Xenopus tropicalis: one gene and its partners. The protein of the gene in region 1 interacts with the protein of each later gene in a pairwise test. Links are inferred from orthologs where the notes say so. Each region holds a gene or a part of one and is shown on either strand. Other genes may lie near its edges.

Region 1 (7,322 bases):
TCAGTGACACTGTACATGCTCAGTGCACAGTTATGTAAACTGTAGCAGAAATTGACATCTGTCACAGAAGCTGATTACTTAATAATCAATCAACTGAGATGCAGAATGCACTGGTGTCTATGTCACCATACAATGTGAATTAATTACCGAACAGCCTGGTACCATAAATTGTATATTGTGTATATCCTGTCATCCGACTCAGGTAAATGACTGTAAGAGTAAGTCCTGTGAATCAGCAATAGAAAGCCTGATGGTAGCATTTTTGAAGGCACAGATAAAATCTAGCAAATATCATAGGAATTAGCCAAATACCCAAATGTGGAAATGATGACGTGCCTGCTCTGCCTTAAGAGTGCTCCTCTGTTGTGCCGCTGAATGACCTGCTCCGCACATGGTTCCTCAGTTGCTGTATCAGATCTGGGTTCTGCTGCTGGATCTGCTGAGCAAACTGCTGCCCCCTAATAAAAAGCACCACGTGTTATAACCCAGGCAATGGCAGCAGCTTCATGGCTACTCAGCACGGTAACTGCTTATGGCCCCAAAGTTACAACTAAAATTCGGATATAGTTGCATGGGATTAAAAATAACGGGACTGATTGGAAAATCTGATGTGTAAACTACATGGAACATTTGCTATCCGATGTGACCCGCTTGCCTGAAGGGAACGCTGTGCTGCATCTGACAAGATAAAATCTGATGCTCTTGTAAATATCCTTTTTTCTCATTGAAATACACTGACTGACTGTTGGATGAAGATGCAGGAACAAAACCCAACACCCAACTTTATCTGATCCATCGTTACTTTTTAGCTGTGAGGATCAGATTTAGGGGATTCTACAAATTTCAAGCTCAGATAAAATCTGACCCACAAAATCTGACTAAAATCTCCCATGTACTTAAGCCCTTAAATCATTACTGTGGCTTCATACACTTTCACATAGGGGGCACATTTATCTAAACACGCAGAAAGTGCGCTCATTAAATAATAAAAAGCAACTTTGGGGTACCCCAGTGATAAAAATCCCTAACTTCAGACAAGGAGTCTCTTCACTGAAACATGCACTGGGCCCGGGTGCCACCCTGAAATCTTTTCTCTTGTCTGGGGATACCTTGAGGCAGTCCTGTCCAATGTGCATGGAATGCTGAGTAAAAGTTTGGATTTTCCTCTATTGTACATGTTCCCCGCCCAGGGCAGCCACTGGGGCATCAGACAGGATGGAGGTGCAACACTCACTCAAACAGGACCCTGCCTGCCATGTTTTACAGACAAGGGGAGCAGCAGCCCAGGGTCTAAAAGGAACAGTAAACGAACAAAAAGACCTTCCTCGCACACCCTTAACTCCACCAAATTTCAGCGCTTGGTGCACACTGCTGGCGGGGATCGGCACCCTCCCAAAAATCCAAATAGCAAAAAAAGCACTGGCACTCATCTGCAAACGGGACTAGCCCTTCAAAAGTCTTTATTGCGGAGGTGCAACGTTTTGGGGCAAAGTCACTTTGCCCCAAAACTTTGCACCTCTGCAATAAAGACTTTTGAAGGGCTAGTCCTGTCTAAAAGGAACAGTAACACCAACAAATGAAAGTGTATCAAAGTAAATCAAAGTAATTAATATAGTATGTACTATTGCCCTGGTGAACAGTAACACCAAAAAATGAAAGTGTATAAAAGTAACTAAAATATAATGTGCTGTTGCCCTGCACTGGTAAAATTTGTGTGTTTACTTCAGAAAGTCTACTATAATTTATATAAATAAGCTGCTGTGTAGCCCCGGGGGCAGCCATTCAATGGAGAAAAGGCACAGGCACATAGCAGATAACAGATAAAACACTATTGTATTCTACAGAGGTTATCTGCTATCTGCTATGTAACCTGTGCCTTTTCTCCTTTTTTCCAGCTTGAATGGCTGCCCCCATGGCTACACAGCAGCTTATTATATAAATTATAGTAGTGTTACTGTAGCAAACACACCAGTTTTACCAGTGCAGGGCAACAGTATATTATATATTTATTACTTTAAAGCTCTTTCATTTTTTTAGTGTTACTGTTCCTTTAAGCCACTGCTGACTCCATGCTATTGCTGTTTTTATCCCATCCTTGTTATTGGATTGAACTTGCTACTTGGTATCGGGCCCAAGCTAAATATAATGTTAGGGCATGAAACAGGCGACTACTTATTTCTTGTCCATTCTCCCTACTGTTTGTAAGGAACATGTTATCAGTAAGCGTCTACAGCATATAAAGCAACTACTTACGCCTGTATTAGACTTGAGAGGTCTGTTAATCCACCAACACCCGCAGCGGGTCCGACTGCTGCATTTGACATCATGCCAGACATCCTGCAATGCACAAACACCCTGCTGTACCCTCTGCATTATTCTGTCACGCTCTGCATTATCCCTCACTGCTGTGCCACCCTCAGAATTAAAACTTCAGAGAATTCTGGCTGCCTGGGAGCTTCTTTGCTACTGGTGCCATCATTCTTGCCCTGTACAGTGCTGTACAATATCCTCCATGTGGAGGTACCTGGTGCTGTAATGAGTAAGGCGGCAATAAAGATCCAGCATGGAGCCTACAGGGAGGCAGATAATATACAGGGCCCATGCTGGAGCTTCCTATGTGTATGTGTACACTCCAATTTGCATTTTTAAAAAACGCATTTGAGGAATATTGGCCTAGAACATAATATTTGTAATTGGATAGAAAACTGGCTGAAGGATAGAGTACAAAGAGTGGTGGTAAATGGAACATTTTCTAATTGGGCCAGTGTGGTTAGTGGAGTACCGCAGGGGTCAGTCCTTGGGCCTTTGCTTTTTAACTTGTTTATTAATGACCTGGAGGTGGGCATAGAGAGTACTGTTTCTATTTTTGCTGATGACACTAAATTGTGCAAAACTATAAGTTCCATGCAGGATGCTGCCGCTTTGCAGAGCGATTTGACAAAATTGGAAAACTGGGCAGCAAACTGGAAAATGAGGTTCAATGTTGACAAGTGCAAAGTTATGCACTTTGGTAGGAATAATATAAACGCAAACTATCTACTGAATGGTAGTGTGTTGGGGGCATCCTTAATGGAGAAGGATCTAGGGGTTTTTGTAGATCACAAGTTGTCTAATTCCAGGCAGTGTCATTCTGTGGCTACTACAGCAAATAAAGTGCTGTCTTGTATAAAAAAGGGCATTGACTCAAGGGATGAGAACATATTTTTGCCGCTTTATAGGTCCCTGGTAAGGCCTCACCTTGAGTATGCAGTGCAGTTTTGGGCTCCAGTCCTTAAGAAGGATATTAATGAGCTGGAGAGAGTGCAGAGACGTGCAACTAAACTGGTAAAGGGGATGGAAGATTTAAGCTATGAGGTTAGACTGTCGAGGTTGGGGTTGTTTTCTCTGGAAAAGAGGCGCTTGCGAGGGGACATGATTACTCTGTACAAGTACATTAGAGGGGATTATAGGCAGTTGGGGGATGTTCTTTTTTCCCATAAAAACAATCAGCGCACCAGAGGTCACCCCTATAGATTAGAGGAACAGAGCTTCCATTTGAAGCAGCGTAGGTGGTTTTTCACGGTGAGGGCAGTGAGGCTGTGGAATGCCCTTCCTAGTGATGTGGTAATGGCAGACTCTGTTAATGCCTTTAAGAGGGGCCTGGATGAGTTTTTGAACAAGCAGAATATCCAAGGCTATTGTGATACTAATATCTACAGTTAGTATTACTGGTTGTATATATATAGTTTATGTATGTGAGTGTATAGATTGGTTAGTATAGGTTGTGTGCTGGGTTTACTCGGATGGGTTGAACTTGATGGACAATGGTCTTTTTTCAACCCTATGTAACTATGTAACTATGTAACTTAAAAACGCCCTGGGTACCCTTGCCCTTATAGTCACTTTTAATGCTTGGGGCTGCTGTAATGCTTCAGTTACACCATTATCTGCTGCTGCGCAGACCTTCTGGCTTGTGGGCACCATTTCCTTTCCGACCCATAGGGCTTAGCATCTGTGCAGTGTTTTGGCCCAGGCTGATGCTCCATGATGTAAACATGGTAATTTAGGCATGCCCTTGGCATCATCAGAGAGAGGGAATGCAGGCAAGCCGGCAGGCAGTATGATATAAATGGCAGAAAATTGGGGCAAAACTTAGTATATATAGGATTTATGTATCTGGGAACTGGCACAGAAGCTCCGTGCATTAATATTGTCAATATAAGCCTATACCTCGGAGGTTTAGTTGCCCTTACACAAAGTGATCTAGCTTAAACTGATAGCTTCATAACCCACTCGATGCATATACTCACAGCTGTTGTACTTGGGGATCCCGCATCAAGCTGGCTGCCTGGAAGGAATTGCAAAATACAAGTACTATTGATTATTTAGAATAATCAATTATACAGATACATTCCATTTATATCAGCAGGCTTTATCTGCCTTTTTATAAAGTGAAAAGATACAAGGCTACTGATATTAAAGAGACCCAGTTGCTATTTTCCAATCTTTGCCCCGACCTTGGGAGCATCACAAATAACAGGGGCAGGGTATTGGAGAGTACTAGCTTATAAAGCCATTTATTCAACCGAGTCTACTGTAACAATGTAGGCCAAGCAAAGAGTTTATGCATTTTCTTCTTATATAGACCAACCTCCTATGTTTATAAGTGAGATCTTCTTTCCCTTCGTTGTTAGTCGCCCTTTCCTGGATTTATACATCTATAAATGTTTCTGCATGCAGGAAACCAAATCCGTATGGAATGTTTAAGGTTGGGATCTGAATTGGTTTATTTAAAAGAGTGACATTCTCATATTGAGAGTCAGGATTGTATTAAGCCGTTTCTAGCTGCTGCAGGTTGCATTCGTTTCTAGCTGCTGCAGGTTGCATCCGTTTCTAGCTGCTGCAGGTTGCATCCGTTTCTAGCTGCTGCAGTTGGCATTGCTTTATACATGAGAATATTACCTACAGATACTTCTACATCCATCTCCATTTTAGGTCCCCTTAGTCCAATTAAAGTCACCAAACACGCCCTCCTATACAAGCCTTTGTATTTATGTAGAATCCCTTGATATCTATGGATCATGAAATTAGAACCTATTATGGCATGCACCAAGTTACATGTACCCCAGTCTTATGACTTGAGTCTGCTGAGCCCAGATTGTACTTGCCCTTTAATGTATCTTACCATGCTCACAAATGCAGGGTTGTTCATCAGGCTGGCCATATCAAAGCCCCATCCAGTGCTGATCTACAAGAAATAAAGCAAGAAAGGGTTATTATAGTATTGGCTGATAGCAGGCATCATCATTATACACTGAGTAAGGGAGTTACTTACAGGGCTTGGGATCTGCCTCATCTTCTGTTCTGCTAGTTTCAAATTCATTTTATATGATTCATTTTCAGGATCTAGATCCAGGGCTTTCTGGTAGCTTTCAATAGCTTCTTTGTACCTAGACATAGCAACCAATGCACGCCTGCATGATAATATTAATAATAAAGGTATTAGAGGCATGTCCCTGTAATATATGTACTGTGAGTAAGTGCAAGCTCACACACACCCTGTGCTACCACAGACCCACAGGAATCACAAGCTAATGTTCTGTAGCTCTCATACCCCATTCTTCCATAGGCTTTGCTGTACTTGGGATCAATGCATATGGCTTTCTCGCAGTCCATTACGGCTTCACTGTGCTTTCCTCTCTGACTTTGTGCTGCTGCTCTGCAAAAGTGCACACAGAGAGAATTCAGATGGCCATTTAAGTCGCTGGCTGTTAGTTTTAAAAAGGAACAGTAAAAGAAACACATGTATAGCATTTATAACAGTTTTGTTAGTCTCATTTATTCACTTGCTGCCTGGTCACAATCAATTACTTCCCATAGTCCTACTGTAGTGGTGACAGCCAGCCAGCAGGGGGCATGGTCAAGATCCAGAAAATAAACAGGTGGCAAATGGATTATACACAGGATTGGGACTAGTGTTGGGTGGGTCAGGAGAAACTCAACCTGCACCGACACTAACCCACACAATGTTGCCATTGTTTGACCCGTACCCAACCTGTACCCACATCTTTCTGCTCTGTACGCTACTTCTGCTTCTGCCTTAGGTTCCAAGACAGGGAAAGTTCGGGAGCAGAAGAATGTTATTCCCCAGTCCGAGCCACACCCAAACCTGCAATGGTCAAGCCATACTTGAACCCTAACCCACCTTACCTAGGGGTAAACACTAGAGATAAGAGTAGTGTATAGGCATTTAAAACGTCAACTTGACAGGTGGGCGGAGCTATGGGTGTGTCTATAGACAAGACGACCAGTTACCCCCGCCCACTGTGCATTATGGCCATGTTGAGCCACCATTTAGCCCCGCCCACTGCGCAGCGGGCATTTTGAGACTCAATTTTGAGTAGTACCCATAATGCCCCTGTGTTATGCTCCACCCATTGCGCAGTATTGCCCCTCCCACTGCGCAGCCGCCATTTTATGATTATGGTCCGCCATTTTGTGTGTTACCCACAATACCATGCATTGGTAAGTTGGTGCCATTTTGTGAAATGGCACCCTTCCATACATGGTGCTGTGTGAGCGCCACCATGTGGTTATAAAATGGTAATGCATTATAGACCCATAATAACACGTTTATGAACCTCTATGTTAGCGGTACCTAGCGGTTATGATTAATATTACAGGAGGATATCAAAGGCATGCCCAGACAAATATTTTTGGAAATGGTACCGTATCCGGGCATATTTTATAGCTGATTCCAACATGTCCAGGCTTGTTAGCGTGCTTTCATAGACATGCGCAGTCTTGTTTATGAAAGACCGCTTCAAGATTTATAGTAGCATACAGGAAAGTATGCAGAAAAAACACACAGACACACAGTTTTACAGTAACACACATAAAGTACATCCTTAGTTTTAAGTTTTAGATTAACAAAATCACTTACCGGTGGGGAACCAATAGTTCTCTAGTAGGTCTTATGGCTCTGGCACACGGGGAGATTAGCCGCCCGCGACAAAACTCCCTGTTTGCGGGCGACTAATCTCCCCAAAATGCCATCCCACTGGTGAAAATGTAAATTGCCGGTGGGATGGCATATGCGGCGGTGCGATTTCAATGAAATCACGCAAGTTTCCTCTTGAGGCGTTTGCCATCCCACCGGCGATTTACATTTTTACCGGTGCGATGGCAATCTGGGGAGATTAGTCGCCCGCGAACGGGGAGTTTTGTCGCGGGCGAATAATCTCCCCGTGTGCCAGAGCCCTTAAGAGATAAAACAACATTTGGAATTTGACAAGGAGCTGATGCAGCTGGTAATAAGACATGAGAGAGTAAACCTTATTTCT
Region 2 (8,056 bases), on another chromosome or scaffold:
TAAGAAACGAAAATGCATTGAGAGAGAGAACACATGTATGTCTGTTTAGTAGCATGTGTAAGTATACCTGTACGTGTGTAATTGTGTATTTATGTGGTGCTGCCTCTCCATTCTGTACAGATGTAACACTAAAATGGAGACAGGGCAAGTAAGGGCTGCAGGAAACAAAATGAATGTGAGTGGCTGCCTTACTGCTGTTCCTGTTATCGGCTTGTCACTGTAATTGCCTCAATAAGCAATGTGAGGATGTCCTCCAGCTCAGGACCTGAAGCTTAATGCCCTGATGCTCCCTCCTTTGCCCTTGTTATTTCCTTTCCATTACTGACACCATAGGCCATCCATCACAGAATAAAGAGCTGATATTTAAAGTTATTACAGTTATTACCTGAAAAGAGTTGGCGCACAGCTGCTTTACCTTTCCAGGCTTATTATGGGGAAGAGTGTTAAATAGTGTACTAAAATGTAATGAGTAGAAATGTTAAACACACACGCAAGCTATAATAGCTTTGTATCTATAGCTGCCAGCATGTGCAAATTAGAAAACCTGTCCCATTATGGCTGCAACCTAGTACAGTTATAATCTTTGCCACATTACACTGTCTGCAAATAGCAAGTATTAATTCAGCTCCATAGGGGCATTACCTACATCTCAGAGCACAAGAAGTCCTGTGAAATTTGCCTAGTTATGCTGCAAAATCCACATTTTATATAATATTTTACCATTGTATTTTTTACAGAAAATACCAGTGAATTTCCACACAATGTATTGTGCCATTTTTATTACCATCTATTTGCCTAAGGAAAACCAACTCCATTACAGGACCTCCATTACTTATGTAAAATAATACTGTCCAATCTGCAGCCATGCAGTTGTATAGGTGTACTTAAAAGTGTAACTAAAACATAAACTGCCCAGTCCTACTTATAGAAAATTTAAAAAGGTTTTTGCCCAACCTCCTCTAATAATAGCCCTACCTGGCTAATATATGCCAAGACCCACCGGTCTAATAACCAATACCAGTCAATCAGCGAGTATTATTTACTTGCTACCTGTTTTAAAGTGGTTGCCGTGGGTTACTAGACTTAATAAATGACAGATTATATCACATGATAATGTTAAAATGTATCGAAAGGTAAATGCCCTGTCAATGTAACACTTGATTATGTGAGGTCTCAGTAAGTGGAGCCTTGATCATCTGGGTAGTGGGATTGATGATTGCTGCTATCTATTATAGCGGATTTTTACAAGTGTTTTTAGATGTATATGTTTTTTATGAAATGGTTTCTTACTTATGGTCTCTACTGTAAGTGTTGAGAAGGTCTCTGGCTGTTTACAGGGATAACTTATTATTATTAAAGCCATAGAGGACACCCACCTCAGAGGGAGAGCCATCCAGACCATCATCTTTATTTGTTAAGCCAGCTGGTTTTAGGTAGTTCCATAGAGCTTGTCTAAGTTGACGAGAGATGAGACTAGGTCAGCTAGTTAAGAAGTTTGGACTCCACAGAGAAGATAGTGGGGCCAACACTACAGCGGGCACTCCTCTAGTACAGGGTTAGGACTACTATAGTCCTTGTAAACTGACTCTTTGTGCAAAACACCCACTAGCTGAGGAGGGCCCCTGTGAAGAAAAGATGCAGGGAGACACTGTGCACTGTTTTCTTGTACTGTTCCGTAATATCATTTGACACTCTGAATAACTAAGGAGTGTTGAAAAGAAGCTAATATCAACCAACTGTGAATAAAGTGTTCCTGCGTTTAGTTGTAGAACCATATGAAAGAACCTTCAGTTCAAGGGTAATCATGTTGGCTAGGGTCGTATACATGCAATAGCCTTTAGACTTATGTCACACAAAGGGCTTAGTAGCTGCTGGTTGTTCTGTACATACGGTTTTGGGTTCTCCCAGCATCAGCAATCATAGAAAGAAAATCTCAAGAAATGTTTGCATGGGAGGCAAAAAAACATACAACTTAAAGGACAATGAAAGGTTAATATAAATTAAAAGTAAGTCTAAAGGCATTCTTTTTAAGTACTTACTGCAAATCTAAATTCCCAGATCCCTGCTTGCTTCTCTGAGATATGGTGCTGGCAGCCTACAGCAGTGTGAAGACTACAGTGACATCACTGAAATCTCTTTTCCCTTCCTGTAGGTTGCCAGCGGCAGCCTTCCTATTCTCTGAGCATGTAACTTGATCCTGTCTGCTGTTCTGAGCTACACATGCCCACCAGCCAATCAGAAGCGGATCTGGCAGAGGGGAGGGGGGAGGGAATGAAACACATGTGCAGTATGAAGCAAGGAGGGAAAGGAAGGGAGAATACCTGTTTAGAGATGGCTGCCTCTTCTAGAAAATGTGATGTAAGTGTGACTGAGTAAATATTTGATTAGGTGAGCCAAAAGTGTGGCGTTTTTACTAAACAATAAGAGGACTATTGGGCAGTATGCTTTTTAAATTTTGACTTGCATTCTCCTTTAACTTAACTTTCTAGCAAAACATCACAATGCCTGTATTGTGTTGTTGACCTGTTAAATGTGCCATTTTAAAGTGGTAACTTGCAGGTTCCGATACAAAACCTGTAAAATTGTTTCTTGCTAGATTTAATAGTAAACAGCAAAACTTTCTCACACTCTCTGCTTGCCTTTTGCCCCTGTTAATACCCTGATATGTTTTGCAGTCAACCTTTTATATAATTTTTCAATATTTACAAATGGTTTATACCAGCTCACCATACATAGGCACATACACATTTCATTTTGGTGCATTTGTTGGTCTGAGGTTGTTGGTCCCATGAATGAAAAATATTTCTAAAGTCTCCATAACCAACAGAATACATTTCACCAATACATTCTGTTCAATTAAAAATTAAAGATGCACAGAGCCCTGATAGAATATAACAACCTGCCTCCTTTCTTTATGTTTTCTGATACTGATTTGTTAAGATATGCAAATAGCGGAAATTTATGGGTAAGGCGTTAAGCCAAACAAAGCAATATACTGTGTAGGAGGACATGATGTACGGGAGGAAATAAAAGGCAGAAATAGCAGTGCCATTCTGCAATGCATTAATAAAATGAAATTGTGTGCAGAAGACAAAGATGCAGAGGGATGTTCAGTGACAGGATGACAGAAAATAAATGCCACTATCTAACAGCAGCAGGCGTTGAATGATGGGAGACTTGCTGAGGGTGGGTGTCAGTGTTAAATCAGGGCACCCAAAGGGAGAGAAGCTATACAGAATGTATACAATTAATGTGTGCCATTTTAGTAGTAGTGTTTCTAGAAATGATTGTGCATGTAGATATACTGAGTGCCACAGGAGCCCCTATACCCCCAGGGCCCAGGACCTGCTCCCAGTGTCGGACTGGCCCACCAGGATACCAGGAAAACTCCCGGTGGCCCCAGGTGTCAGTGGGCCGTCCTGCTCCTAACCATTTGGCATGTTTCATAGTCATTCCCTATTTCTGAAGGAAAACAAAGTAGAGAAATAGATGGAGGAATAAATCCTAGCATGTAAATAAAAGAGACTAGGAGAATAAGGAGGTTGAGTGAGGAAAAGGGGGGAAAAATAGTTTGGAGAGTGGGCCTATGGTCTTTTCTGGTGGGCCCCTGTGGTCCCAGTCCCACACTGTCTGCTGCCAATATAGTTTTGCCCTCCTAGTGGTCCTATATATCCCCAGACTGCCTGTAAAGCTAGGGGTGTTCTTCGGCATCATTTAGGGTTCGAAAGGTTTGACTTTTACTTTGTAACTAAAATACCCTCTCCCCACCTGTAGGAAACTCTTAATAACCCTACCATGCCTCATGGTAACATATCAAATCATTGCATATATGATCTAAAATGACTGCTAATCTGAGGCGCACAAATTGTGTTGCACAGGTGCCCGGTGAATCACTAAATTACACTTATAATGGGATATACTGGGCAACGGTGCAGAAGCCAGAGAAGGAAGACAGGCGCATAACAGCCGGCCCACAGCTTGCCGGGCGGTGCCACTGACAGACAGGAGAGGGAGGAGCTGAGCCCACAGACACCCAGCGCCCTGCACTCCTTGCATCTGCTCTCTCTGTACATGGAGCAGCAGTAGCGCCGCTAGGCAGAGCGACATCCCTACCGGAGTCCAGGGTTCAGCTCCAGTTTAGTGCCAGGAGGAAGGATACTATTGCCAGTGCCAGGAATTGGGCAGGTAAGAGGGCGCAGATCCTTGGAACCGAGCCATTTGGAGATTGAGGATGGCACTAGTGCTTAGGCGCTGTTACAGAAAGGCAAGCACCGCACAGCGTAATCATATATACATGTATAGTGGCGAGATATGTGGGGCAAGTAAGGAGAGCAGCTCAGAGCCGTGCCATGGGCGGGGAGGGGGGAGGTTATGAGAGGATACAGGGATGTGTATAGCAGGTCTGTCCCTTCCCTGCTGTCAGAACACACAGCCATGGAGGCTGCTGCGGGGATCCTACTCCTTACCCTGGATCCTCTCCAGCAGGAACAGCTCTGCCTGTATGTTCTTGTGCTGCTGGGATGGCAGGCTCAACCAGCCTCTCACACACATGAACAGATTATGTTATTGACATGTAAAACTGTTGTACACATTTCTTCTTTTGCAAGGTATATTCATGGGAAACATTTCATCTTTTGAGGGGGCAAGCAGAAGCCCTCAGCCAGTTGTACAATTATCCCAACTCTGAAGGCTAAAAATTGTAGTTTACCAACAACTGAAGGATTGCAAGTTAGATAGATACATCAGTAATGCCTCCTATGTATCTATCTATCATCTATCTATCTATCTATCTATCTATCTATCATCATCTGTCATCCTTCTATCTTTCTATATGTGTCTAAATAACCATTTGTCTTAATGCATATGCATTTTGTAAGTATATATTGCATTTTGTAAGTATATATATATATATATTCATTCTGTTTATATGTCTTCCCTTGTCTAATATACTGTGATCTATTCTATGACCATTGTAACCAAAATATCACCTTGACTTATTTGTCATTTCCAGTGAAATATGCCTTTTTGTGCATTATGCAGCTAAAAAAAAGGGGCAGATTTTCCTAAATTAAATGTCATCGCATTTTCTGTTTAGACTTAAGAAATGTTGCCAAACAGCTGCTGCCTTGTGTTTCACATGCACAAATCCCAGGGGTCATTTTCTTTCCTTTATTTTTTGGCTAGGCAGATATATTTGGTGGCTCAGTAATGAGGAGGGGGTGATTCGTCCCTGCTGGAGAAGGTGGTTTCTATCTACAGAGTGCTTCTTTGGATTCATAGGGTTTTTTTTTCATTTTTAAGATATTTTATTTTCAATAAGACTATTTACATTTAGACTACAATCATGTAGTATCTCTTTAATTGAGCGCAAGGGAGCGTGATAAGAGCAATGAACCGTCCTGTAAAGCTGTGACAATGCCATGCTGAAAAGAGAGACAAACACATTTTTTTCATAGCATTCATATAATTATAAAAATATTTCCCCATTTAAAATGTGAAGTGGTTAAGTTGTGACAGATGTATTATTAGCAGCAGGAGCCAAAAATCAATGCTTTGGCGTTACACAAGAAACTATTGTATTCCACCTTAGTATTTGAATAAAAATAGGTGGGAGGACCCTTTAATTATAGTCTGACAGGGCCCAATTCAGATATGTCAGATGGAGCTGCATGCTGGAATGAAAATGTTATTTTCCATTGTCTTTTAACAGCAGATGAAAAGCAAAATGGAGGATTCTCCAGATGGAGCAGGGCTGTAGTTTTGCACATATATCTCTTTTTCTGTAAATCCGATCTGGTCAGAACTGTTTTGGCTTCCATTGTATTGCTCGGAAGCTGCCTGCATGTTAAAGTAATAATGCATTCATGCACTTGGGTTTTTGGTGGCCAAAGGACAGGATGCGCGGGACGCACAAGCAATTATTTCAGCCTGGATGGACTTTCATGTCTTTGGGGTGGTGCTGTGGGATAATTTGATGCTGGATTTTAGGAACTCACATCTCTAATGCATAATGCATGGGACTTACAAAACGACCATCACACAGGAAACCCTTTTACAGCCAAGTCTACAATTAACCCCTTTAGCATTTATTATTCTTTTTTGTTTTTTTTTTTAATTAATAATTAGTTTGTATTTATAATTTTATTATTTTTAATATCAGAAATTCTAAGTATCAGGGACCTTATTTGCCATTGATATGAGGTTTGGGAAAAAATATCTTTGTTTGGCCACTGTTATTCGTAATGAAAAGAGAAGCCCTGCATTAACACAGTGCTGGTCTGACTCTTATATATTTTTTTTATAAGAAAGCTATAAAGAAAAGTAAAATGCATGGGCCCAGAGAACATTATTTATGTGTTTATTATATTTTAGATGTATTTATTTATGTGGGTTTTTAGGTCGCTTTTCTGCACAGCATTCCTTCACACCAATGAAAGTGTGCCCCTGGTGGCCAAATGATTATGGAAAATTTAAAAATACTAGCCTTTTCTCTATAGGTAAAGATTCTATTATGTGAAATGCTTGGGACCTGGGCTTTTCCAGATAAGGGGTCTATCTGTAATTTGGAGTACTGTTTCCTAAGGTATCTAGAAAACACTGAAACATGCTACTGTACGTTGTTACTGTGCAATACGGTCTATCATCCTGCTGCATGAGTTATACAAAGTGCAACTGTAATCTCAGTGTATTTATATAAAACACCAGCATAATATAGATTTCATATGAAAGATACAGAAATGCCTGTTACTCTTGTTTGTTTTACCACCCACTTGGTATGCAAGCCCAAATTGCCATTAAAGCTTGTTAAGAAAATAAAAATCCTTAGGACCCAATTTCCTGATTTTTGATGATACAGCAGCCAGAAATTCCCAGCACAAGTTTATCAAGTAAGGTTGCTGCAAGCATGCATGCCTTGGTGGGCCTAAATTCTCAGGTGTCTCTAATACTAAAATATGGCATCCTAAAGGGCAACTAATATATTATTAAAGATGGCTGATCTTCTTTACTATCGTCAGTGATGCTTATCTAGCATGTGACCCATCCATGCTTATTATAATTGTATTAACCCTGACTGTTTGGAGACAGGAATTGATTTGCACAAAGACTGTTGTAACTGCACAAAGATATATATATAAAAAAAGGTAAAAAGTGTAGCCACTAATATCTAATGTGAAATTCCAAGTTTCAGCTTAATTCTCTATGGTATCTGACCACTTAGTTTGCAGCAGGGTTGGATACATTACAAGGTACACCATGCACTGGAGACATGCTGTATTGGTAATTTACATTTTTATTGTACCCAGTGCTTTATTTAGGCATCGGACCTAAGTGTACCCCCAAGCCTGCGATCTGCGCATGTGTGTGACGTCACATCCAGTTGTGTGTGACGTCACTTCCAGCAAAACTGCATACCTATGAGCTAGGTACCACTCACCCCCCCAGCTGGAGAGATTTTTTTCCTTGAAAAATATTTATTTTATCATGTAGGTAACTGAGGGCTACCCGTTTAACTGCTACCCTAAGCACGGCCCCTTGGGTGCCTTTATATAAATCTGTCCCATGAATAACATAAATGTTTGTTTGATACAATTTTATAGCTACATGTATGGCCAGCTTAAATCTATCTCCCATAGAGTCCATTTTATGCAAATAATTCAAATTTTTAAAAATGATTTAATTTTTCTGTGTAATAATAAAACATAACCTTGTACTTTATGGTAACTACTGTAAGCTGCATGCATCCATGGCAATTGCAAAACAATCCTGCTGGGTTTATTTAATGTTTAAATGTTATGTAATAAAAAGCTTCCAGGAGCAGTAACCTATAGCAATGAATTAGAAGGTAAAATCACCTGCCTAAAACCAAACTTATTGATTGCTATGGGTAACTGCTCCTGAGCAAATTAGTGCCATTTATTAAATATAGGGGCAAAGGTATGGAGATCTAGATTAGGAAAATAACCCCAGATCCCAAGCATTCTAGTCTATAGATCCTATTTATGTACAGCTATATGCAAAGGAAAAGGGTTTTTTAAGCCAGGCAAATATTGTAGAA
Region 3 (8,030 bases), on another chromosome or scaffold:
AAATGATTCAATAAAACTTAATAAAATCTTTTACGAATACAAACATTCATCAGATGAGGCAGTGGGACTATGCAGTAATAGTCTAATTGGAACATATTCATGGAAGATCATAGCTCTAAGTTGAGGGGCGTGGGAGGGAGGCTATTTAGTCACTCAGAAGGTAATGTGAGTATTAGAACGAAAACTCACTCCATGTAATTCTGTAGCAAATCCATATTCTTTTCAACTCCGTGTTACAGTACTGTATATTACACAAAACTGTACATATATTTGCTGGCTCCAAATGCTAATTTGCATTCTTTTTTAACCTGGGATCATGTATATAGCATTATACACCACGTTAATACCATGTAACATCCCACAAAGCTAAGTTTAGATTTCACACACATGTAGCTGTGTAAAATTCTGGTTTAAAAAGTGTTAGCTTGGAAATTTCTTTAGCAATCACAAGGGATTTTCTGCTCAGTGATTCACTGCAGTTGAAAAGGACTTGCAGCCAGTCACAGGGAACCTTTTTTTTTTACTTCTATTACTTATTTTGTTTATTAATGTTGAGGAATTTATAGCTTGGTTATTTTTTATGTTTCGTGTCCTCTTTGTTTCTGAGTTGAAAAGAAAACCAAGGACTAGAGCTGAACCCAAAGACAGCCCTATTTAAAGAGGGTGCCAATATGTTAGGCAATCCCAGTGAAAAGAATCGTTAGGTTTATTCCCCAGAATGATGCTCCTGTTTGTGTGGGGGGGGGGGGGGGGGGTTGATTTGCATGCTTTGGCACTGTATTGTGTAGTCCTGTTATTGTAATCCAATTGTTTGGCCCTAGGGCCATATAACTGGTCAGCCTGACATTGCCCACCTTAGGTGGGTATTTCAGGGGAAAGATTCATTTTGGCACCTCTCCTATAGGGTGGGCAATAAATGGAGTGGGCAATAAATCAGCCACAGCAGGTACCTGCCCCGTTTAGCTCAATATCTAAGTGGGTGAGTAACTGATAGTTACAAATAGGAGGGTCTTTTTGTCATGTCATATAAAGAAAAAAGTCAGAACGCCCATCATTTGCATTGCAATTACAAACCAGCTCAAAAACATGTTTATATGTACAGTACTTCATTATTATCTGGTGTTTCAGTTCAGATATTTTTTCTAAGAATTACTGGTTATTAGATTTAAACACATAAAACTTGGAAATGTTCTTTGTTACGCGTCCTGAATATGAATTCCCCTCCTGCCCCTCTGTAGAACTTTATAATACATCAACTTTGTCAGTAATTGTTTGTCTTGTATGAACAATTTACTGTTGTCTTGTAATTTTACTTCTACTTCGTTTGCTAAAAAAATATCTGACAAAAGGGCCCAATTACAAAGACAAGTTTAGCAGAGCAAAATGTTGAGATTACCATGTGTTTGCCTTTGCACCCATTCACTTATTGTTTCAGCAGAAGCCTTTACATCTTGGAAATCCACCAGCTTTATTGCACTGTTGAAGACATCCCTGTTGCTATGGAGATACTGCTCCTTCACTTGAAATCCTTCTTGAAGGTAGAGGGCATTTGCTAGATTAAATGTAAATTCTTTATTTTCTTCAGAGATGACAGCAAGAAGCGTTTTTAGCTCAGAAAACTCCTCACCTAGAGAAAATGATTTGTGTTTTAGTGCCTTTTAATGATCAGCATAAACATAACGAAGGTGTAGGATGCTCTTTTCCAATCTAAAACCTAGTACACAATTTGTTTTCTTGCTCTCACCTTGACATGAGACATTTCCAGCAGGCTTTTTCCTCCAATTATATTATACAATGTGACAAAAAAGTACCCAGGGTTATTTTTATGCTAAACGACAACTGCTTCCATAAGAACTACAGGAGAACAATAAGTTATTTGTTTTTGAGCAAGTTTTTAATTAATCCCCACCAAGGAGTAAGCATGATATTCCAACCTTGTAAACATTTCCCTGTTAAAATGGGTTTGTATAATAAAATGGGAAAGGAAGATAGATACAGTACAGAAAAATATTGTATTAAAAAAAATGAATTGAAATTTAACTTGTTTATGTATGTTTGTTTGTGTGTGTCACAACCAGTACTGACTGACTAATCATACTGACACGACCATCAGGGGACCACAGCATGTCTTAGGGCCACTGGTCTTAGTGCATGGAGTAGGCATCAAGGAAGAAGCTCTTAAGAGAAAGGTTTAAATACAGGAAGGCAGAAGAAAGTCCATGGTGAGGCACAGCAAGGGTAAATACAGCACAAAACCAATAAACAGGAAACAGGTCAGAACTGGCAGAGTTCAGGCAGGCAAGGGTTAATACAAGAGAGGAGCATAGAAGCACCACGTGTAAAATGGCCAGTGGGAATGGGACCTACAAACTGGCAACAAGCATCAATGTCAGTGGGCTAATTGTTTGGATTTGCATCATGCAAAGCTTTGTGCTTGTCCCAATGGCCCAGTGATGCGACTGCCCAAGTGCCAAGCCAGTTCTGACCCATGCCAGATACGATATTATTGGTGCGTGTATGGCCAGCTTTACTTATGAGCCACAGTCAAATGTAAAAAGACTTGGAGAGCAACACAAGCATCATAAAAGTTCATGGAGGTGCCAAATAAGGGCTAAGATTGGCTATTACGTAGTCTCTATCCACACTATCAGCTTACAGGCTTCATGTGGTAGTAAACGTCATTTTTATTCAACCAAAACTTGCCGCCAAGTCAGGAATGTGAAAATAACTACCTGGTTTGGGGACACTGGGAGCAACATCCAAGGGGTTGGTGAGCAAAATGTTGCTAACGAGCCACCGGTTGGGGAACTCTGCTTTACAATGTGAATGGCAGACTCTCCTATCGATCATCAGGAAACATACCAAAGTCCATTTTTATTTCAGTTCTTATGTTTTCAACTTTTCAAAACTGCCCCTTGCTACAACAACAAACTCTCTGCACCTACCGAAATATATGTGGTCTGTTAGTCCCCTAAATAAGGTTGTTCACATAGGAAGGCTTGTTATACCTTAAATAGAGTGTTTGCATAGGGAGGATAGCAATCTATTAACACCCTATTCTTCAAAGCAAAGTTTCTTATTCTTCCATTTATATCTTCATGTATTTTTACATTGTAACTGTACATGGCAGCTTTATCAGTGCGATGTTACTGAGTATTTCAGTGTGTAATCTCACAACTCCTTTGTATCAATTTTAGACAACATTGAGTTTCTTGAATGTGAACTAATATAGATGTTGACATAAAGTCCCAATCCCCAGATATCTGAGAAAGTTAGCAAGGCTCCTGAGTGCCACCACAGAAAACTAAAATATAAGGACATATAAACTGTTATTGCTAGAATATAGTAAGCCAATTCAAAGGAAGTATTCCATGGACACAGTGTTCTTTGTTCTGCATAGAGAAGTTCCCCTTTCAATTTGTGGATGCATTCAGCTATGAATGATATCCTGAACAAAAATGATAGGACGACATAATGGGTTACAGACATATTCCCACCTTTCCCCTTCATCCTTCATGTCTGTTTTATTCTGCTTTATTTTTTTGGACATTAACCCCATTGGTGTTGGAGAGACTGGACTCAATATACTGTTCATATCACCAAGCACAGATTAGTTTTATTTCACCTGCACAATAACATGGAGGAATTATAGATTTGGGATCAATAAAAGAAAGACTCACTGTCTTGATTTCCCTGTAGTTTTAAAGCTTGCTGTATCTGACTCAGTGCTGCTCCTCTGGCTCCCAGTTTTATCATTCCAAGAATTAAAGAAGTTCCAAGTGGAGAAAAAATGATGTTTTCTTCTGTGCAACTTGAATGAATTGCCCGAGACAGATCCACAGCCAGTTCTGTAATAGCATCTCCCCAGAGCCTGGAGGCATTGCAAGTTATCCAAACTCCACAAAGGGTCACGGCGACGATCACGCCTGGGTAGAGTCTTTTCATTGTAACACAAAGTACTCTTTTGGGCTCTAAAATAGAAAAACTTCCATTACAGAAGACATTACCATAATATCATTTTCCTCCACTGCCCACACACAATATGATTCTTGGCGTGCTAAATTCCATACTGGTTTAACTAATAAATGTCGCACAGGGGGAACGGTACACTATTTCATTTTCTCCTACTGTTTCCCCGCGCACTAATGATATTTATCTTGCTTATTTATTAAAAGAACAAAAGTATTTATACACAGTAGTTGGAGTCAGGTTTCAGGGACTCCATGTGCTCTCCTAATTATATAATAACATAAACTACACAGATTGCAGTAGTCACAGCAATATTTGTAAATTACCTCATTTAAATGAGCACACTTGAAATGAGCTAATAAAAAAAGTAAAAACAAAACTATGCTATTTGGCGCTTTTTAATTATCTTTAAACTTTTTTTTTTGTCTTCAATTTCTTACACTTATTTTTTATCTTAAAGGGCACTTACATGAAAAACAGCGGCGTATTTCCCCTGGCAAGAAAAGTAAATGTCTCCGAAAGCTGAGGGAGAGCAGGTATAGTACATTTAATCTGTCAGACGAATGATTAATTTTCTAAATGCCAGAGTGTGTTTGTTGACATTGCTATCTCGAAACTTTTGTAGCGCACTAAAAACACTATGTTTGTTCACTGAGCAGCAATGGATCAAACTGGCATGGCTGCTGAGTCGGCTTTCATTCACAAACTGTATTCATTTCTTGCCTGTAATGTCTAAAATTCTAATGCCTGGGACAGTCAGCATAGTATGCATTCTGATATGGAATACATAGTACAGTTAACTCACCAATGATGTTTGCTTATTCTATACATTTGTAACCATTAGAAATTTCTTTGTGGTTAGCAAGATGGATATAAAGATCAAAAAATGCCCATATATTGGTAGATAGTCACTGCTGATTGGTCACTTTTGACTGAGTTGGCATCTGGTTGGATCATGTATTGGCCTAAAATGATCATCTTGCCATCTGACATGCGATTGAGGCAGGAAAGAAAATTTAATAAGGAAAAGACATCAACTAAACCTGCAGGGGCCCCCACATAACCTTGTATCAACTTTGTTAGGATCATCACTCAAGCCAGCACGGCTGCATAAAGCCAGCTGAAGTTTGTGTATTTTGAAAAAGTCAAAACTGATAGCTTGAATGTGCCCCTGTCGGAAGTGGTTACTGGTACTGCTTACCAATTTAACATATGTACAGATACATATTACACAAGTCGAAGCATAGGGAACCAAAATAAGATGTTACAAGGCTGTCCCTCAATCCTGACTGTCTGCTAAGTCCAAACATCCAATACTTTGCTTATATCAGTTGTATGGCATTTGGCTCTTCACACAGCTCTATACAAAACCACACGTAGTAGAGTGCATCTTGTACTTTCAAGGCGATCTTCATTCCAATGTTCAGGTCGTAATGTAGATACAGTGCACTGCCAATATCCTTAGCCCCCTCAAAAGAAAAAGACGAAAACCATGCCAGTGGAACAGGCACTGGAGGATAAATAAGATGTGAATACACTTTTCACAGACTCCTCTCCTAGGTTATTCCGACTCCCAAAAATTTAGAAATCTACAACAAATAATTTAAAATTATTAACTATTACTAACAGTAAAATTATTTGGCCAGGTCGGGTCACGATGCACCTGGGAGAAGAAGGCAAGCCAGGCGTGTGTGTGTGAATCTGTGTGCAGATACAGGTGCGTGTGCACCCAAGCTCTCTGAGTCGAGTCGGATTAGGCATGTGATGTCACTGGCACGTGCCAAACCCGACCCAGCATAAAGAGCTAAGATGCAAGCCTTGCCTGCCTTCTTCTCCCTGGTGCACCCAACCGGACCCAGAGCACACAAAAAGGAATATTAAAAGATTGGGAAAGAGAAATCATTTTTAAAAAAGCTAGATATGCCCCTGATCACACTTGGCCTCTGGGCTTTAGTCTAGGTAAGCCTAGGCATGAATCTGTCCCTGGGAACAGGGACCTGTATCTCATTTGGGATAGGACTGCTGCTACAAGAAGTGGTAAAGCTGTATTATGTAAAAATAATCCATTTACAGGGGCTGTTCACCTTTGAGATAACTTTTAGTATGATGTAGAGAGTGGTATTCTGAGACAATTTGCATTTGGCCTTCATTTTTTATTATTTTTATTATAGTTTTTTTATTTTTTTCATTTCGGGAACTCTCCAGTTTGGAGTTTCAATAGCAATTTGGTTACTAGAGACTGGTATATAAATAGGAGAGGGCCTGAATAGAAAGGAAAGTTACAAAAAGTAACAATGCCAACAAAACTGTAGCCTCACAGAGCAATAGTTTTTTTGCTGCTGGGGTCAGTGACCCCCATTTAAAAACTACAAAAAGTTGGAAGAAGAAGGTAAAAGGCCCATCTGTCCCCCGTTGTGTGGCCCCCCCACCTTTCTGGCTGCTGTGACTGCTTACCTTTGTGTAAGCTTTAAATGATATCAGTACTGAGAATAACTGGCCCCTGCATTGCTCACACCTCAGATTTAAGCTTTAAGTCCCTGTATTGTTAAAACATGTAATCCCCTGTACTGTTCACACCTTTTAATCTTTGCATTGTTCACTCCCTGCCTTGTTCACACCTCAGGCTCAGACTGTAAACCCCCACATTGTTCACCTGTTCACACCTCATACAGACTGTAGGAGCAGTGACAACATTGTGTCACTGTATGTACTACATACCCTATGCTGCCTGTGTGTATGGCACACAAAGGCAGCATAGTGTAGGCAGAGCATGGCACACACAGACAGCATAGGACAGGCAGAGTATAGCACACACAGGCAGGGTAGGGCAGGCAGAGCATGGCACACACAGGCAGCATAGGGCAGGCACAGTATGAACACACAGGCAGCATAGGTCAGGCAGAGTATGGTACACACAGGCAGCATAGGGCAGGCAGAGTATGGGACACACAGGCAGCATAGGGCAGGCAGAGTATGGCACACACAGGCAGAGTAGGGCAGGCAGAGTATGGCACACACAGGCATGGTAGGGCAGGCAGAGTATGGCACACACAGAGTGAGCCACACACAGGCTGTACTCTGCTTGCCCTATGTTGCCTAAGTGTGCCATACCCTGCTTGCCCTATGCTGCCTGTATGTGCCATACTCTGTCTGCCCTATGCTGCCTCTGCGTGCCATACTCTGCCTGCCCTATGCTGCCTGTGTGTGCCATACTCTGCCTGCCCTATGCTGCCTGTGTGTGCCATACTCTGCCTGTCCTATGCTGCCTTTGTGTGCCCTATTCTGCCTGTGTGTGCCATACTCTGCCTGCCCTATGCTGCCTGTGTGTGCCATGCTCTGCCCTATGCTGCCTATGTGCCATACTCTGCTTGCCGTATGCTGCCTGTGGGAGGTGAACCTGGCAGAGGTTTGTTTTGAGAGTTTTTAAGCAGTTTTAAATAGCTGCTGAGTTATCCACTGGGGGGGAGGAGGCATATGGATTTAAGTCTCAATATGACATAATATAATTTTTTTCACAAATGAATGAAGGGTAATATTCCTACAGTGAGCACCAACCATTTGGGTTTTTGCTGCACTACCACCATTAGTGTGGGAATAACCTTAAAAGCTCTTATGATAACATAGGTGTGGTTTGAAGTGGGTGCAGTTTAAAAAAGGGGGAGTGCTCAAACTGGCTTCCATTATTTGCCCTCCACCATGTAGTACTTCAGTACCACAGAAGTTGGACAGCACTGATATATAACATATGTAAGTGGGAATTAGAAAAAATGTTTTCTAGTCATTACACAGCAACCCCACAGAGAGACCAGAACCCTGTTCTTCAGTGCATGCAAATATTATAGGACACTCTATGCCTCTGTGCATGAAAGTTAGTACTGTGAGCATTTAGAATAAAAGCTTGCCAATAGGATTTGACTGGATTCTCTGAAGATTTTTTTAAGGGGGGGGGGGGGGCTGGCACACACCATAACATTTGCACATGCCGACCATCGATACATGCCCCCTCCCCGGTGGCAACCCACCTGCTGCTTGGGATCCCCCTGCAGGCACGGCATTTGCTG
Region 4 (8,058 bases), on another chromosome or scaffold:
TAACTAAAACCACATTCTACTTCCTGATTTTAAGGGCTCTGGCACACGGGGAGATTAGTCGCGGAAGTTGCCTTGAGAGGAAACTGAGATTTCATTGAAATCGCGCCGCCGCGTATGCCATTCCACCGGCGATTTACATTTTCGCCGTTGGGATGGCATTTCGGGGAGATTAGTCGCCCGCGAACAGGGAGATTTGTTGCGGGCGACTAATCTCCCCGTGTGCCAGAGCCCTAAAGAGTAAAGTCAAACACCAAAGAATCTCACTAATAAAAGACTCTTTGTAATGAGCTACTCTTTATCTAAAACAATAACAGTCTGTAGCTGGGGCAGGGGGGTAGTAATACAGTGGGCTCTTTAGTGGACTTCAGTTAGTATAAATTAGCTCTTTGGGATCATGAAGTAAAATGTGGCTTTAATTTTATTATCAAATTTTGTCCAGTTTGGAACAGGCAAAATGTATGTTCAGCAAAAGGCCTATTCATTGCACCAATGTTAAAAAAAGAGGATATACTGTTTCTGAAAACAATGTGAATGTTAAGTAGGGGGGTACAGACACAAATAAACTAGTGCTCACAAATATTAGATATTATTTAATTCAATGTCATTTACCTTTGCAGGCTCCACACCATGTCTTGTGGATCACTAGCATAAGAGGTAAGCCACTGCAAAAAAAAAATACATTAGACACACATTCAAATATACACACAAACCAGCAATGTCATTCACATATGTCATCTGTCATTTAAAAGGGCACACATGCCACACATGCCAAAATGGTTACTTTTAACCAAACTGACCTCTCGTGGTCATGTGTGGGTTGTAAGTGATTATTTTACCGACACAGTGTTTAGGAATGGAGTGTGAACCAAAGGCCAAAAATGCTGACTCACTAGGCAGTTTTTACTCCTCAACATCCACTGTTTTAATTTGCATGGCTTTTAGCAAATAATGACTGAAATATTTTGGCTGCCTCATTTGTGCTCTTTGACGCATTGACAATTTGGTCTGGCCACCTGTGTGTGAATAACCTAAAGTGGACAGCGGAGTCAATGTGCACATATTACAGCACATAATGAAGATAAAATGTACAGGCTCAGTAGGGAGTGCAAGACGTGTATGTGTACGAAATTTTTCTGACAAAGAATAAATCGATATAACTGGATGCAAGATAGCGGCTGCAATGACTGAAAGAATTGGTCAATATGATATCCCGATAAATGTGTTAAACAGCAATTCTGCTATCAACGACTACAACATATGGGGAGGCAGGAAGGGTGAGGTAATCAATTGACCTTTCCCTGTTCTTTAAGAAAATGGGGCTTAGAGGGAATGTTCTTTGGGGCTCTAACTTTGGATGACTTTCCAGGTCTGAGATCCAGCAAAAAACTTACCCAGCAGCTGCTTCCTTCTTCCCATCTTCCAGAGTTCTCCAATGGATATGATCCCCAAATCCTGCGACATTTAAAAAAAACCAAAAACTATATGAATGAGATACAGCCAACACTGTCCTGGTCAATTTTAATATCAGGCACTGTATGTGTTATAAAAAGTTTAAATAACATGCCTGTTAACATGAATGTTGCTGCATATGCTGGACTGTTTATGAACTTGGGACTGATAGAATTACTACATATGATGATTATTTTATATGGCAAATAAATCATGAGCCTTTTGTACCACAATATGATTATCTTTACTTTGATACATTATTTTATCAATTTCATGTCATTACTGCAAGACATTACCAGAATTATTCACCCCTTTATTGCCAGCGTGATATAAGGCACTACCCCTATAACAGCTTATTTCAACCTTGCGATTTACATAAAATTAATAATTAAAATCTCTATAGATCATTAATACAACTAAATGAAAAACTTTGTTTGTCTTCTTTGTTTCATATCCGCAGTAACCTTTACTTCCAAACCATCAGACAGGTTTTGTAGAAACCTGAAACACTACTACTATGAAATGAATGTTGAACTAATAAATCACCACAGTGCAAACACATAAGTCCTATGTGTTATAGAAGTTAATTAAATCTGACAGACAGGATGGCATCTGCCTTATTTAGATGCTCTCTTTCACCTTGAGTGTGCTGCCAGCTTGTGACTTTTCTATATACTGAAATATCTGTGCACACACACACATATACATATATATATATATCTCTAAACCCAAGTTATTGACCTTTTCAGCAAACAAATTATGGTACACACACAGCTGCAAAACACTACAGATCAAATAGGACATATTAACTATGGTAGAACCAGTTTTCTCATACCATAAAAACAAACATTAAATTAAGTGTCTATAATCAACTGTTAATCCCTTTAGCATTTAAGAAAAATTACTTATAAATAAGACAAGACTTTACGAGTTTGGCCGTGATAATATTGATATTAATGTACTGTGTGGCTGCTGGAGATACAATGCTCTGCACATATTTGAGATCTCTATAATGCTTATTTTTGGTACTCCTTTAACCCTGAATGCCTCTTAAGCTGGCCATACACATTCCAATGACATTGCATAAAATGTTTTTTTATGATTACTGGGGTGTGTATGGCAGATTGCTAATCCCAACGATATTCATGGATACTATGGATATAGGTTGGATTTAGAATTGTTATATTCTTATACACCATGTCTGCCAGTGCACTGCCAGAAGAGGAAATGAAGCAGAGGGCCACAGACACTCTTCACTTCCTGCTGACCTGATGCTTAAGGGTAAGCCCCCACGCAGCAACTTACTCACCCGCAATAGATCGCTGCTGTAGAGGTCGAGTAACCGTTCCGAAAAGGGTTTCCACCTGCAACAATAGAAGTCGCCGGTGGAAAGCCCTTTGCATTGCTTCAGTTTCCGAAGTCACGATTAAATGTTAAAATAATATATAAAAAAATATGTTCGCGTTTTTGAAAGACGGATTTCAATGCAGTATTCTGCTATAGAAACATGTTTTCCCATGACAGTATTCCTTTTAGGTCCAGTAGCATTCTATATGATTTTTATCTCACCTCCTTTTTAGTAATGTTTTGGCAGTGGGTGCCTGGATTACACTTATGGTGGAACAGTGTGTTGACCTATATTTTCCCTAGTGGAGCTTTCATTTAAAGGCAGTGGAGGTTATTTATCAACACTGGGCAAATTTGCCCATGTGCAGTAACCCATGGCAACCAAATTGTTGCATTCATTGTTCTACCTGCAGCTGGCAGTAAAAAGGCAATCACTGATTGTTTGCTATGGGTTACTGCCCACGGGCAAATTTGCCCAGATTTCATAAATGACCCCAAGTATGTTTATTTCTCCTAATTGCATGCTGGTTCTAGATCAGTGTGGCAGAAGCCAGCCTTGAATGCTTCTTTCCAGGTCTGTTAATCAGCAGGCTTCTGCTACATTGTTACAAACGTCAGAACCATCAGGGAAGAGAACAGAAAGGGACAGAGATACACTGCTGTAAACAGCAGTTGTACTGATGGATAATAACAAACACTGTAATAAATGTAAATTAGAAAATTACTTACAATTACCAGGTGGGGAGAGAAAAATTTTAGGATGTGCTGCAAAATTCTGTTTATTTAACAAAGATAAATACAGGGGGATGGGGTAAAATATAATCAGTATCACCAACAAATCTGCAAATGTAACCACTTAAATTGTTTTTACATATTTCTTAAAGAAATCCAGCAGAGGAGCAGCATAAATCAGCCCTGCATAAGGGGGACTTGAAAATCCTAAAATAATTAAATATTTTTTTTTCACAAACTAAGCTGTGCTTTATACTATGGAGTACATATTACAAATCAAATGAATGCATTTTCTGTTTAATGGTCACACCATATGTGACACACATAATCCCGGAAAAATAACCTTAATAGTCGTGAAACTCTCTACCGTTGACTACCCACATCTGACATCCAAGACCAGTTTTCCTTTAATAAGGACACTACACACCGCCCCACGTTACACTCCAAAATTCCCAGAAAAACACAAGCACATGCACATTTTCACAGAGCCAGAGAGAGAGTTACCTCGACCAAGTCCTGTGTCGGCAGACGCAGGGACAAGAAACAGGAGAAGACACACAGAGAGCACAGCTACCCCAGCTGCATTAAGGTACCGCATTCTCAGCAACCACCCGAGTCGGCAGGCACAAATGAAGGAACTTGCACTTCAGGTACGTGTACCTCCTATCAGCCAGATGGATGTATTATACCACGTGACGCTGCAGCTCGTCATAGGCGCTTCTACTAACAGGAAGTGAGGATGCTTGGAGGGCGGAAGTTCCTAATCCAGGAAGGTCACAGGAATTAGCAGGTAGTGACAGAATAAACTTTGATTAGAAGAAGGCAAAGTAGACTCATGTCGCTTGGGCCCTATGTCACTTTAAAGATGTCGTATAATCTACTTTCAGGCGGCACTTTTAACTCTGCTTTACATCCTTTCCGTAAATGCTTGTGTGGTTCTTGACATGACAACTATGCCTACCAAGCTTGCCAGCCCCCCCCCCCCCAAAAAAAAAAGAATCTTCGGCTTCTGGCTTCTAATATTAGTATTTGCAACTTCCCTAGTGTAACATGCTGCAATACTATTGCACCACTGATTTAACACTTTGGAATGTCAAACTACCAAACATCATGGGGCACATTTACTAATCCACGAACGTCCGAATGCGTTTTTTTCGTAATGATCGGTATTTTGCGATTTTTTCGTAAATTGTCGTGACTTTTTTGTAGCCATTACGACTTGCTCGTAAATTGTCGCAACTTTTTCGTAGCCATTACGACTTGCTCGTAAATTGCCGCGACTTTTTCGTAGCCATTACGACTTGCTCGTAAATTGTTGCGGCTTTTTCGTAGCCATTACGACTTGCTCGTAAATTGTAGCGACTTTTTCGTAGCTGTCGTGCCGAGTATGAAAGTTTCGGATTCATTCAAGCTTCAGTATCTAGACTTTCCTTGGGCCAGGTTGGAGCTGCAGAGTGCCATTAAGTCCTATGGGAGGCTTCCAAAATCATGCAGTCTCAAAGGTTTGCCCGCCGTTTACGAGCGCTCAATACGAAAAAGTCGTGACAATATACAAGCAAGTCGTAATGGCTATGAAAAAGTCACAACAATTTACGATCAAGTCGTAATGGCTACGAAAAAGTCGCAACAATTTACGAGCAAATCATAATGGCTACGAAAAAGTCACAACAATTTACGAAAAATCGCAAAATGTTTGTTTCCAATCCGATTTTTTCCCATTCGGGATTCGGATTCGGGGATTAGTAAATCAGCACCCATGACTGAATTGATGAGAGATTGCTCTAACCATTAACCATGTTAAAAAAGTATACCTATTTGTAAAACAGTTTGGATGAGTTTTTATATTTGTGACAGGTGTAGGGGTTTTTTCATGCAGGTACTTCACATATATTTAGAAGGTGTATACTTTTTTTTTAGGTTATACTTAGTATATATTTATTTACTTTTAAGTAAGTCAGGTTTATTGTTATCTCAAATTATAGTGCCCTCAACTTCTTGTATCAGTTATTGGTTGCATGCCATGTAAATCTGTATGCTCAATGTAAACACCCCTATTTGACAACAATGCAGAAAATATTTGCACTTTATAAATACACGTTAATAAAATAATAATTGTAGTGCTATTTAGTATCCATGTATCCCTGAAATATATGATTATGGGTCCAGTGTTTTTCCTCCAATGGGTCTTTACCACAGCGTAAGAAAAAAGTCGCGCAAGCGCAAAAAAATCGGCTTTATCAGAAAGGTCTATGTAAATACAGCCATAAGCACTCACAGAAACGCTGCACTGAGTCCTCTATCAAAAGAAACACATGATGTCTTGTCTCCATTTTTGTAAACATGTTGTGTGGGTGTCTGCTCATAAAGGCAGCGGCACACGGGGAGATTAGTCTGCCGCAATAAATCTTCTCTATTGCAGGTGACTAATCTCTTCAACATGCCATCCCACTGGCAAGAATGTCATTTGCTGGTGGGATGGTATATGCATCGCTTCAGTCACCCGAAGTTGCCTCACAAGGAAATTTCGGGCTATTTATGGCATGTCGGGGAGATTAGTTGCCCGCAAAAGTGAAGATTTATTGTAGGCAACAAATCTCGTGTGCCACTGCCCTAAAGCCCAACTGGCTATTTAGTATTATGGTGAAGACACGCAGAGCTCATAGTAGCAGCTACTAAGGGCAGTGGCAGACAGGGAGATTAGTCGCTATGATCTTGCCGGTAGGATGGCATTACAGGGAGATTAGTCGACTGTGGTAACGAAGATTTATCTCGGGCGACTAATCTCCATGTGTGTCACTGCCCTAAAATAGACATTTACTGATAATTTTCTTTACATGTGTTTTAACAGAGCCAATTTTTAGTACTTTCTATCACAATGTATTTTCTGGAGTTTAGTAGGCATGAAAAAGTAGCTGCTACTAGTATCTCAGTGTGCTTGCCAAATCCAGGCTTCTCTTTGCAATGATCATTTTTAAATGCTAATACCCCCTTTCTGATTACACAGTTTACAAAATGTAGAAACAATAACTGTTTTGCCCTTTTATTTTTTGTTCTCCTTTTGGTCATCTTTTTCCGGATCAGAATTCCTGTGCATGCCAGATATTTTGGTAAACCTATGTACATCATCAAACTATTCAGCCTACCCCTAGTACTGCAAAGTGCAAGCTTTAGGTCATTTCCAGATATGTCTTTAAAACTGTCAACTTTAGGAATGCTTTGCAGTTTGCTAGTTTAGATGTATTTACCCATGTTGTATTTGAGAGAATTCTCTTTCAGTGACAAGGGGTAGCACGATCTAGCAAAGGGTTGTCACCTAGCCAGTATTTTTAAAGGATGCTGAGGTACACTGGCAGGCATGCAGTTTTAAATAAAGATGGAGAAAAAGATATTTGGACTACTGGCACAATAATTAGCCATGCAACTTCAACGCTTCTTTATGCAACCACCAAGCCCGGAACAACGCCACAGATTAAACTACAACCTACAAATGACATCGCTCGTTGATGACGGATACGTCAACGTGAGCTGAACTTGCCCGTCCTTCTACGTACGTTACGGCCCTCCCCTCTCCCGCACTCGCCATCTTCCTTACCGCGTGCTGTCTGTAGGCCCTTTAAGCTAGGTAAGTGGCTACTGGCTCTCCTCACACGGGAACCTACCGACACCATGAAATGCTCACTACAAGCGTCTAAGATGTCTTGACCTCCGAGGAACTATAGGTGGTGTAATGGCGAGTATACGCCCCGCCGTCTTGCTGAGTATCTCCATTGGGCAAATTGGGCCTCTATGTAACTCCCCTCTATTTACGGAACCGTGTGCGGGTTTGGGGAACGCTGTCCGGAAACGTGTTGTGGCGCAGCGCGTCGGGATCCTTGTAGTTTGTTGCGGAAAGTGATCCCCCTGTCAGAGCAGGCCTGGGGTTATTGGGTGCCCGGTTGCATTTACATTAGGCGGTGCGGGCTGCGTTTCTCTGAGTGGCACATGTTCTGTGCTCGGTTCTAATTCATGTTTATAACTTTGTGTATATTGACTTCTAAATGTGCTTAATACTTACATTCCGTGCTGCAATTATCTGCACGTTTGGAATGTAGTAAAGCGTGGTTGATAGGACTTGTCAGAAGAAAATGTCAATTGAGGAATAAATGTAATTTGTGAAAAGCTATGACTATACGAGTGCTTTATTTTAATCGTGTAAATCTGGGTCTTATGCAAAACACCAGTTTAGGCTTTTTTTAAGACCAGGGGTTTTCTTTTAGGGTGTGCGAGTTGTTGTTTCCAAAAATGCAATGAAATCTGGTCAAATGTAAAATAGCGTTAAAAGGTGTACTATGGGGCTAGCTGGCCTGACTCTTTTTTTTTTTTTCTTTTATATATAACTTATTACTGAAAGCCCTATTGCTTTTGCAGATAATGTGATGCAGAGGTCATGGAACATGCAGTGATCATCTTTGTCACCTCATACTAACTTTAGGGCTGATAAATTCCATAATACTTGAAACTAAGCAGTGATTCCTCAGTGCCTTTACATTT

Evidence for each region.
Region 2: the proteins of sgtb (region 1) and rai2 interact in binary tests that used the Homo sapiens proteins (3 or more experiments, as listed by UniProt). The link is inferred for Xenopus tropicalis from reciprocal best matches to the Homo sapiens genes SGTB and RAI2.
Region 3: the proteins of sgtb (region 1) and serpini2 interact in binary tests that used the Homo sapiens proteins (3 or more experiments, as listed by UniProt). The two-hybrid records come from large-scale screens. The link is inferred for Xenopus tropicalis from reciprocal best matches to the Homo sapiens genes SGTB and SERPINI2.
Region 4: the proteins of sgtb (region 1) and txndc12 interact in binary tests that used the Homo sapiens proteins (3 or more experiments, as listed by UniProt). The two-hybrid records come from large-scale screens. The link is inferred for Xenopus tropicalis from reciprocal best matches to the Homo sapiens genes SGTB and TXNDC12.

The regions. Positions count from the first base shown.
Region 1 is NC_030677.2:187,754,752-187,762,073, reverse strand, and holds part of sgtb (small glutamine-rich tetratricopeptide repeat-containing protein beta), read right to left. Parts: intron 5,699-7,322; coding exon 5,594-5,698; intron 5,454-5,593; coding exon 5,315-5,453; intron 5,228-5,314; coding exon 5,165-5,227; intron 4,328-5,164; coding exon 4,290-4,327; intron 2,338-4,289; coding exon 2,254-2,337; intron 459-2,253; coding exon 347-458; 3' UTR 337-346; exon of another isoform or gene 313-336; intron 1-312. UniProt on the Homo sapiens protein: Co-chaperone that binds directly to HSC70 and HSP70 and regulates their ATPase activity.
Region 2 is NC_030678.2:95,071,550-95,079,605, forward strand, and holds the start of rai2 (retinoic acid-induced protein 2), read left to right. Parts: upstream 1-3,958; 5' UTR 3,959-4,185; intron 4,186-8,056.
Region 3 is NC_030681.2:112,973,930-112,981,959, reverse strand, and holds the start of serpini2 (serpin I2), read right to left. Parts: upstream 4,455-8,030; 5' UTR 4,439-4,454; intron 3,972-4,438; 5' UTR 3,946-3,971; coding exon 3,681-3,945; intron 1,628-3,680; coding exon 1,397-1,627; intron 1-1,396.
Region 4 is NC_030680.2:96,546,336-96,554,393, forward strand, and holds the start of txndc12 (thioredoxin domain-containing protein 12), read right to left. Parts: upstream 4,259-8,058; 5' UTR 4,127-4,258; coding exon 4,033-4,126; intron 1,453-4,032; coding exon 1,392-1,452; intron 663-1,391; coding exon 610-662; intron 1-609. UniProt on the Homo sapiens protein: Protein-disulfide reductase of the endoplasmic reticulum that promotes disulfide bond formation in client proteins through its thiol-disulfide oxidase activity.